Caenorhabditis elegans: one gene and its partner. The protein of the gene in region 2 purifies or fractionates together with the protein of the main gene of each other region. This does not show direct contact. Each region holds a gene or a part of one and is shown on either strand. Other genes may lie near its edges.

Region 1 (4,665 bases), on a different chromosome or scaffold from region 2:
TGGATTAGAGCTGGAAGGTTGTGGATCTTTCGATGGAGCTGAAAATGTTTTTTTTTTTGAGATTTTATATTGTTCAGATTACCTTTGGTAGCTGGTTTTCGATGTGGATAAATAGATACAATCTTTTCGCCGCTTTGTCCAGTGAGAAAACACATCACAGCACTGAAAATTCAAAATTATTTTTATGATAAATTGAACTTTATTCAACAAGATCACAAATAACTATTGATTTTCAGTAATTTAAAAACTCACTGAAGATGACTTTCTCTCTCGAAATCCACTTCTTTCGCTGACATTCTTCAAAAATTCAAAAAAGATTTTCTGGTATGCAATAGTAGATCACAGTACAAAAAAAACCAACAATAGTTGCGAGACCCATGCATATGACGAAATTTTCAAAAGTGAAATTTTCACTGATTGATTTTATTCCATAATCGGAATAATTGTAAATAGTATTGAAATCGATACATAACGGATAGTATTTTTAACGGACATTTTCGCTGATAAGAAATTAAGGAATTTTATGCAAGTTAAAGCTCATATATTTTGTAACAAACAATAAGTTGTGCAATAAATAATCTTCCGGTAACAATTCAATCATGTTCCACAACAAGAATATCTCGATCTTCTGAAGGTGAATAGTGTCCAAATTCTCTTAACGGATTTTCTAGTTCAATTCGGTGTTGTTTGGCTTTTTCACTCATAACGAGGTATAGACGGATTTTCGATGTATTGGGGACTTTGAAGAGACGAGCGAGCTGGAAAAAATAAAATTTTTGATGGAAGTATTTAGCCTCTATTTTTTGATGAAACTAGCCTCTATATGGGGACGCAGAAAAAAACACTTTAGACATTGATCTGAAAACACGCTCAACGGTTAATTTTAAATGCTCCGCCCACAAACTATGGGTCTCGTTAGGTATTAGGCGACAAAACCGTAAATTAAAATGTTTCAATTAGTTTTACTGATTTCGCCTATTTTTAAACATTTTTCGTCTTTTTTTGGTTCGTTTTTCATTCTTTAATGATTTTTATGTCGAAGAGATGTTTAAAAATGAAATGCTAATGATTTTTTCTATTTTGTCTCAAATTTTTATTTCATTACTTTCGGCATAAAAATCTTTGGAAACAACGGAAAACATAACAAAAAATCTTTAAAATTAGCGAAATCGGCAAAACAAACTAGAAACGTTTGATTTTACAGTTTTCTGTCAAATACCTAGCGAGACCCATTGCTCGTTACGTTTTCAATTGGAAGTGGAGCGCGTTTCTGCGTCCCCAAAATAATCGAATCAAGATAATACATTTTTAAATTAAATTCTTTGCATTTTCAAAAGTACATGCATGTCTTCTTGATTCAAATAATAATGATTGTTCATTTGCCTACCATATCTCTAATTTTCTGTATGCTCATTCCCAATGGAAGCCTTCGTGTCTCCACTCGATTTCCACATTCAATTCTAATTTTCACCACCGCAAGGCCCTTTTTTGCTGTATCAAGTGTCGGTTCTCCATGAATTTCAATCAGTCTTTTGATATCGTCTTGATGATCTTCGTTATCATTTAGACCGGCATATTTGTTCAGAAATCGAATTTCTGCAGACCTTCGTTCTACTTCTGACACATCAAACCTATTGAGATCTAGAAAAAAACATCTACTTTAAATAATTTTTAATATTTTTGAAACCAACCTATTAAAGTGCTCAACTTGGCAATTACAATCTCATAGGCATGGACACCCTTTTCAGTTGATAATTTTTTGCAATCGAACAATAACCGTTTCAAACTTTTAAGAGATCTAATGGAATTTACACTTTTCCATTCAACAATTGAATTTCTTTTTATGTTCAGATATTCGAGTTTCGGGAATTTTATCGAACCATCGAATCCGTTTAAGCTCGTAATTCCACAATTCGCCACAGAAAGTTGTGTCAAATTCGGAAAAGTTCCGTGAATGGAATCTAGTGTTTTGAATGGATTATCTTCGAGATCGAGGGATGTAAGACGAGATGAAACAGCTTCAGAAACTGAGAATCTTGTGAGATCATTACCAAACGCCACGACATCTGATGTAGAGGGGAACCGGAGAAGAATCGAGTCGATCTGAAAAATAAAAATAGCAATTCTAGACACTTTTTTTTTAATATTTCATTGGTATTCCTTTAACCTTTAATCTTTAACCTACCGAATTCTCAGATAAATTGCATTCACTAATGACCAATTTCTTACAACTATCCGAATAAACATGATCATCTCCTTCTGATTCATCATCATCTTCTTCTTCATTGAAGCATTGCATGCGATTCCTTCGTAAGTTGAGTTCTTGAATTCTAGGAAAATATTCAAGAATCTGACGAACTGTTTTCCATTTGTACAGTAGATTTCCATAAAGATTAAGTTCACGACAAAGTATAAATTGGGGAGAATCCGAGGAAGGTGGGAAGCCGACTGATCGATTATCAAGAACAATATTTATAAGTTTCTCGATATTGCTTTGTTTTGCAGCCGTTTGATCCATTCCGATCAACTCGATCTTCTTATTGGATTGCGCCAATTCAATTTCAGTTTCGACGCTCTCTTCCTCGATGTATCTGTCTTTGATTTCAAACAATAGATCAGTTGGTTTCGGTACTATTTCATGCTTCATCAATGATCCTCCATTTGGATGTCTGAAAATTTGAAAGTTCACACTTTTGTGACTAGTTTGTATTATTTAGTGACGAATTTTTAAGGGAAAGTAATTGGAGTGTTAAATACGGTAAATAATCCCCCGACACTGTATATTTAAAAGTTCATGGAGACCGCCATAAAACTATGAAAATGTGTACAGCGGAGATCACTTCCATTTTTTGTCCCAATTTGGAATTCATTTCCGACAGTTTCGAATGAGAAATGTCTATAGAATATATTTCTGATGAAAATGTCTGTTAACCTCGTCTGAAAGTATCGTTTTCCTCTCACAATTCCATCATGTTTTCCACGTGTCGGATCATCCCACTCCAATCCAACCCATCGTTGACTACCGTATCCATCGACTTCTCCAATATATCGAACTGTTGCTACTTCGAAATTTATTCGAACTCGTTGTCCTATTTCCATCTGGAAAATTGTTTTTTTTCTTGGCCCATCTTGTCAAAATTATTGGACCACTCGCGGAATAAGATGTCCAGAGATAAAAATTAATTAAATTTAAAAGTTCAAATTAACTTATTTATTCCCAAAAAATACATAGTGACTAGCGGAAAATGCAAAATGTCTATTAGATATGACCAAAAATAGCTAGAGAGAAAAATGGATCACAATGTACAGAAAATTATGCGCTTGACGGCAAATGGATATCAATCAACTCATCGGGTTTGACTAGAGTTCTGATGAAAGTGCGTTAGTTGTGAAAATGAAAAATTAGGTTAGCGAAATACTGTTTTACATGCAGATGGGGGATGAGAACCAATCTATAATAACGGGGATGCAGTTATACAATGTGGTAAAAGTTTGAACGTTTTAAAATTATGACGAAGTGAGTTCCTTTGGATCAAAATGGTCAGTAGTGAGGAATACTATGAATAGGAGTCCGGTTCCTAGGAGATCTCCAAGAGCTGTAAGATATGGAATCACAGAATTATCTGGGTCAATTTTCCATTTCCAAAGAAGAGCGACGAGAAGTTGACAAACGAATAGAAGTATGACAACCTGCAATTTTTGAAATTTTGATTATATATTTTAAATTTTCGATAAAACCTTACCTGAATGATTGCCGCAATCATATAAAGACTGGTGAAAAGTGGTCCATGGGGTGTCACATTATTCTTTGAAGTCAAAGTGAATAACTGGATAAGGAAATTGAAGCAAATATGACCAGGAACAACGAGTAACAAAAGAACTCGAGCCGATCGAGAATCCCATTCTTTTGAGAAGAATGCACGCTGAACACTGGTAAATCGACTGACAGTCCATTCATTCGGAAGAACTCCAACTGTGCCGGCTTTATGGAAATAAGTAGAGAGTCTGCTGGCTTGAACAGCAGCCAAATTCCCTCCAACACCATTCAATACTGGACCGTATGTACTCAAGCTATGATATCTTCGGACTGCGGTTTCTAATATAAATCCTCCAGCACTACTGATAAGCATTGACATGATGACTGGTGTCCATCCATTGTAGAGAGTCTCCTGTGTTCCTTCATTCTCGTTGGCAATTTTTATCCAGAAAGGAAGGAGAAGAAGGAATAATACAATCACGATAACATTGAGCCAAGATTCAGTATTATGAGCTTTGAGGAACACGGATCCGAAGAAAGCCAGTACAGTGAGTGTCGTCAGATCTCCAAGTGATGCAGCAATTGGTGTGGCCACATTATCGGGATTGATGTTGTATTTTCGAGATGTCACAATGACAACCACCATTAACAGTGATAGTACGAGGGATGCACTACATGCTGTAGCTAGGCTGCTTGCACACATCAATGCACCATGAGCCCAATCGAAATCCCCAGAAGGAATGAAAGCGAGAGCAGCGGCAAAAGCAGAAGCGAGGAAAGCGACGACAGTAGCCTGAACTTGCACAAGTGCCAAGTTGGCGATGACTACATCTTTTCGTTGTTTTGAAGAATCCATATGACCAAGGTTAGCCTGAAAAATTGATAGAAAATTATAAAATTGAATATTC
Region 2 (5,682 bases):
ATACCTTGGCGAGTTCGTAAGCCATCAAAAAGTTGCCAGCGGGTAAAATGTAGCAAATTTCATTTTCCACCACTTTTTAGTTGACAACTTTTTGGTATTTCGCTCTCCCGCTTAGGTACAAGCTTTTGAAATTTGCAGACTGAAAGCTAACTTACCCCTGTTACAATTTAAAAATTCTTGTAACTCGGAAAATAAGCAAACTTTAAAAATTTGTCTTCTACAGGGCCTCGCTTGGGAAGCCGCCGCCACCAGCGTCAACAACGGCAACCGCGGGAAGTTCTGGGTACCCATCGAGATCCAGAGCTCGGATAAAAATGGAGCAGTAACAAATCTCGTCGTGGTATTCCAAGAGTCGTGGTGCAGTGTTGAGGAGGGAAATGATCTCGAGGATGTGTGCGAATCTATGTGCCCAGTATATTATGGAGGAGCTAAGGCTGTGAGTTTTATTTTTATGGAGAGCTCTTAGATTTTAAGCTTCGGAATTTCAGACATATCGTGTCACGGCTACCGAATCCAACGGGGGAAGTGATTTCGAATCTGTTAGAATTGAATAGAAAATGCTTTAATCTATCTTTTGTCAGTTAATTTGTACATAATCAATAATCACCTAATAGCTTTCCAATAAAAAGTTTTATTTTTCAATACTCATCATCCCCATTATCATTAGCATCGGAATCCGCGCCAACCTCCTCATAATCCTTCTCCAAAGCAGCCAGATCTTCACGTGCCTCGGAGAACTCGCCTTCCTCCATTCCCTCGCCAACGTACCTGGAACAAAGAGGTGTTTTGACAAAGAGGTGTTTCGACATTTTACGGGTCATGCACTGGGCTGCTGGGCAGCCGACATTAAATAGAAGCGCGTATCTCAGCTTTGGTCTTGTAAAACCCTATGTAACTCCACGATGAGCAGAGCTATCAAAAAGTTGCAAACTTGAGAAATATTTAGAATTTAATTTTCTTCATTTTGCTAGTTGACAACTTTTTGCTAACTCTATTCTGAGCTGTTAATTGCGGTTTGAAGTTGAGGCATCACTCCCACAGCTCCCTCATGCTTTCTCTAACTTCAAACTTGCTTAACTCGACAGTGAAAAACGTTATCAAAAAATGGTCAACTAACAAAATGTTTAAAATTAAATTTTCTCTATTTTGCTAGTTAACAACTTTTTGATAACTTTATTCTCAGCTGAGTTATAAACGTTTGAAGTTACGGCAACACTTCCGCAGTTTTGTCTAACTTCAAACTTGGTTAACTCCGCGGTGAAGAAAGTTATCAAAAAAATTTCAATTAAGAAAATATTTAAAATTAAATTTTCTATAATTTGCTAGTTGACAACATTTTGCTAATTCTATTCTCAGCTGTGTTATGATAGTTTGAAGTTGAGGCAACACTTCCGCAGTTTTGTCTAACTTCAAACTTGGTTAACTCAGCGGTGAAGAACGCTATCAAAAAATTGTCAACTAACAAAATATTTAAAATTAAATTTTCTATATTTTGCTAGTTGACAACATTTTGCTAATTCTATTCTTAGCTGAACTATGAACGTTTGAACTCACCAATGCACAAAAGCTCTCTTGGCATACATCAAATCAAACTTATAGTCCAATCTCTGCCACGCCTCCGCAATTGCCGTAGTATTCGACAACATACATACCGCCCGTGGAACCTTTGCCATATCCCCACCCGGGATTACTGTAGGCGGCTGATAGTTCAATCCAACTTTAAACCCAGTCGGACACCAGTCCACAAACTGCACGGATCTCTGAGTTTTGATCGATTTTATCGCAGCCGACACATCCTTCGGCACAACGTCTCCACGATACAGTAAACATACAGCCATATACTTCCCGTGCTTCGGGTCACATTTTACCATTTGATTTGAGGCTTCAAAGCAGCTTTTCGTTATCTCATCAACTGATAGGAACTCGTGGTGGGCTGAAGAGATCAGTGGATTGTAGGCGACAAGGGGGAAGTGGATTCTCGGGTAGGGGACCAGATTGGTTTGAAATTCGTTTAAATCCACGTTGAGAGCACCGTCAAAGCGTAGAGATGCCGTGATGGAGGAGACTACCTGGAAATTTTTTTATTATTTTCATAAAAAATTCGTTTTTTTAGTTAAAAGTACTGTGGGTTACTATAGTGGTACTATAGCAGTACTGTAGGATTACTGTAGGGGTGCTACAAGAGTTCCGTATGGGTACTGTAGGATTGTTGCAGGGTTACTGTAGGGCTACTGTATGATTAATGTAGGGGAGCTGTAGGGTGGCTATGTCCTAGGAGGTAGGAGGACAAGGAAATAAGGCCAAATATTTATTTATGAATAAGAAGAAGGGGGGAAACAATAGTGTATATATTAAGGGATCAGTAAGGGGTGGAGGGTCCAGAAAGGATGGTAGGGGATTCTACATCTAGAACCGGTTGATGCTTGAACCATGTTATATGCACAGTATAGCGTCTTATATACCATACGTACAAATCGAATTATGCTAATGTTGGGGGCGAAGGTGGTAATGTGATGGGAACGAAGGGAATATTGTTTCCCTATGACTAATAGAAGATCAGAAATCATAATCAAAGAGCAAGCGATTTGACAGGCTATAGGGGAATCGTAGGATTACTGTAGTGGTTATGTAGTAGTAGAACTGCAATGATACTGTAGGAGTACTGTAGTGGTACTGTAGTAGTACTGCATAAGTATTGTAGTGATATAGTAGGACTACGGTAGTGGTACTGTATGAGTACTGTAGGAGTACTTTAGGGGCACTGTAGTGGTACTGTAATAGTGTTTCCGGAATACTGTATCAGTGTTGTAGGAATACTGTAGGACTGTTGTTATGATACTGTAGGGGTACTTTAGGATTACTGTAGTGGTACTGTAGGAGAACTGTTGGAGTACGGTAGGATTACTGTATTTTTCAAACGTTTTAAAAAGCTGACTTTTCGAAGGCGTCTCAGCAAAATTTTTTCAACTAAAACAAAAAAATTTGAATCCCCTCCAAACCTGAGAAATAATTCGATTCAAATTATTGTACGTTGGCCGCGAGACCCGCAAATTCCTCCGGCAGATATCATAAATCGCCTCGTTATCAACCATAAATGAGCAATCTGAGTGCTCCAAAGTGGTGTGAGTTGTCAGAATTGAGTTATAGGGCTCTACGACAGAGGTGGAGATCTAAAAAAAAAAATTTAAATTGATATTCAATTTTTAAATTAAAATAGTTTAACCTGTGGAGCCGGGTAGATCGAAAATTCGAGCTTGCTCTTTTTGCCGTACTCCGCGGAGAGTCTCTCCATAAGCATAGAGGTAAATCCACTGCCAGTACCTCCACCAAATGAATGGAACACAAAGAATCCTTGTAATCCTTCGCAGTTATTCGCGAGTCTTCTGATTCTGTCCAGAGTAGTGTCGATGATCTCTTTACCCACTGTATAGTGGCCACGGGCGTAGTTATTTGCGGCGTCCTCTTTGCCAGTGAGCATTTGCTCTGGGTGGAACAACTTTTTATAGGCTCCCGTGCGGATTTCGTCTGGAAATTGAAAAATTAGGGGAAAATTTCAACAAAAAACCTCGGAAAGACTAATCATGCTAGCACGGATATCTTCAGGACATGGGTTTGTGTCTTCATTGGTTTTGAACCAGTGACCTTCAGAGTGGCAGGCAAACACACTGCCACTCGGCCACGCGTGCATCACCGCCGGCGCTCAGTAAGTGTATACTTGAAGAGTGGGGGTTACATGAATGAAGGGTAAAGAAAAATTGCATACCGACAACAGTTGGCTCCAAATCCACAAAAATCGAGCGTGGCACGTGTCTACCGTATCCAGTGTCCGAGAAAAAAGTGCCCAGAGAGCCGGAGTTCCCGTCGGGCTCCATCGATGTCCCATCTGGGAGAATTCCGTGCTCCAAGCAGTAAAGCTCCCAGCAAGCGTTTCCGATTTGAACTCCCGCCTGCCCCACGTGGATTGAGATTACTTCTCTCATAGTTCACTGTACTGTAAAAAACTAGATTAACTATAAGTTAAAAAAAAACTAAACGATCAACAGAAATTTCGCAATAGGAATTGCAAAATTTCAAAATTTCAAAATAAAATTTTTTTAAACCTTAACTTTTTGAAAGCACATATCTCGCTAATCCTTAAAGCTAGAAAAAAAAATTGCAACATACAATTTGTAGAAAAATTTCTTATCTACATTTCCCTAGTTGACAACTTTTTGATATCTCTCATTCCTACAAAGATACAAGCATTTGTAGCAAATAACCAGTGACGCTTATGTACTACAACTTTACACGGTTGCAACTTGCCAACCACAACAGTTACTAAAAAATTGTTAACTAACAAAATATAGCAAATGAAATTTTCTACAATTTATCAGTTGACAAAATTATTCTAGCATTCATGCAAAGATACAAGCTGCCAAAAAATCTAAGCCAAAATTTCAAAATTTTGCTTAAAACGAGTTGGAATTCAATTTTTTCGAAAACGAGAATGCCAAAAAAAGGAGTTTCATATAAAGATGTTTCATAATATTTAAGCACTGATAAGAAAAAGAGCAAACAAACATAATAAAACGTTTTTGGCGGTCTGTCAATGCGAAAAAGTGATGATGAGAAAATGATAAAACTACGGAAAAAGGTAAGCAGGAGAAGAAAAATTCGGAAGTTTTCGGAAAATCAATAATATCCAGTGTGTGTGCAGCCGACACCTTACGGGTTGCTATCTAGCAGCCGACACTTAACAGGTTGGCAGCGGACATCTCAAGGGTTTTTATTCAGCAGCGGACGCTTAATAGGTTGACAGCCGACACGTTACGGATTCCTATCTAGCAGCCGACACTAAACAGTTTTGTAGCCGATACGATACATGCTCTCACTCAGCAGCCGACGCTTAAAAGGTTGGCAGCCGACCTCTTACGGTTTTTTATTTTGCAGCCGACGCTATACGGGGTTTTACTCAGCAGCCGACACTTAATAGGTTTGCAGCCGACCTCTTACAGGTTTCTATTCTGCATACGACGCTTTACAGGCTTGCAGCCATCACTTCACAGGATCCACTAGGGAATTGTCGGCTGCTTTCAAATAACATAATTAAAAAGTAAAAAATAATTTATTCACGGCAAAGAAAAAGGCAGACAACTTCATCGAAGGCAACAAGAGAAAAAAGAGAAAACATGTAAGAAACCACCCGGTAGTGTGTGGGGATAAATTATGCGGCACAAAGAAAAAAAACAGAAAACAATGAAAACCAATGCTTAGAGGGTCTCCCAGACGTCTTTGGCAAGATTTGGGGACACGTTTGGAGCATTTCTTGGCTCTGGGCCGTATCCGAGGTCGCCGACGAATCTTTCGTAGTCTGAGGATTTCAAGCCGCATGGACGACGGAACTCGTTGCCCTTCTCGTGGATCCATTTGTTGGATACCTGGAAAAACAAGTTAAAATTCGAATTCCTCATGAAATTGTGGTCCTAGAGGTGTTTTTGTGGGTTACTGTAGCTGCGAAAGTACGCAAATACCGATATAAGAAGCGACCGACATTTCGCGGGCTCCCACCAGAAACAAAAAACTAACCCATTTGATTCCGACAAGAACGGGACAGGCGGCGTGACGGGTGTCTGGGTTTCCGTCTCCTTGTTTGTACAAGTTATACCAGAAGAGAGCATCATTCTTGGTGGGCAGAATTGTAGA

The links.
Region 1: the proteins of tba-7 (region 2) and tbce-1 fractionate together in Caenorhabditis elegans (co-fractionation; one large-scale study listed by BioGRID). This does not show direct contact.

The regions. Positions count from the first base shown.
Region 1 is NC_003282.8:8,293,124-8,297,788, reverse strand, and holds tbce-1 (Tubulin-specific chaperone E), read right to left. Parts: upstream 3,100-4,665; coding exon 2,933-3,099; intron 2,670-2,932; coding exon 2,186-2,669; intron 2,104-2,185; coding exon 1,692-2,103; intron 1,642-1,691; coding exon 1,388-1,641; intron 759-1,387; coding exon 594-758; 3' UTR 506-593; downstream 1-505. Other genes in the region: nprl-3 (GATOR complex protein NPRL3), read right to left, coding at 1-38, 83-162, 253-296; K07H8.2 (SLC41A/MgtE integral membrane domain-containing protein), read right to left, coding at 3,508-3,690, 3,744-4,628.
Region 2 is NC_003281.10:11,367,796-11,373,477, forward strand, and holds tba-7 (Tubulin alpha chain), read right to left. Parts: upstream 3,994-5,682; 5' UTR 3,981-3,993; coding exon 3,764-3,980; intron 3,736-3,763; exon of another isoform or gene 3,526-3,735; coding exon 3,224-3,525; intron 3,171-3,223; coding exon 3,000-3,170; intron 2,070-2,999; coding exon 1,555-2,069; intron 769-1,554; coding exon 639-768; 3' UTR 556-638; downstream 1-555. Other genes in the region: pugs-8 (Cystatin domain-containing protein), read left to right, coding at 224-436, 489-554; dpy-18 (Prolyl 4-hydroxylase subunit alpha-1), read right to left, coding at 5,250-5,417, 5,566-5,682.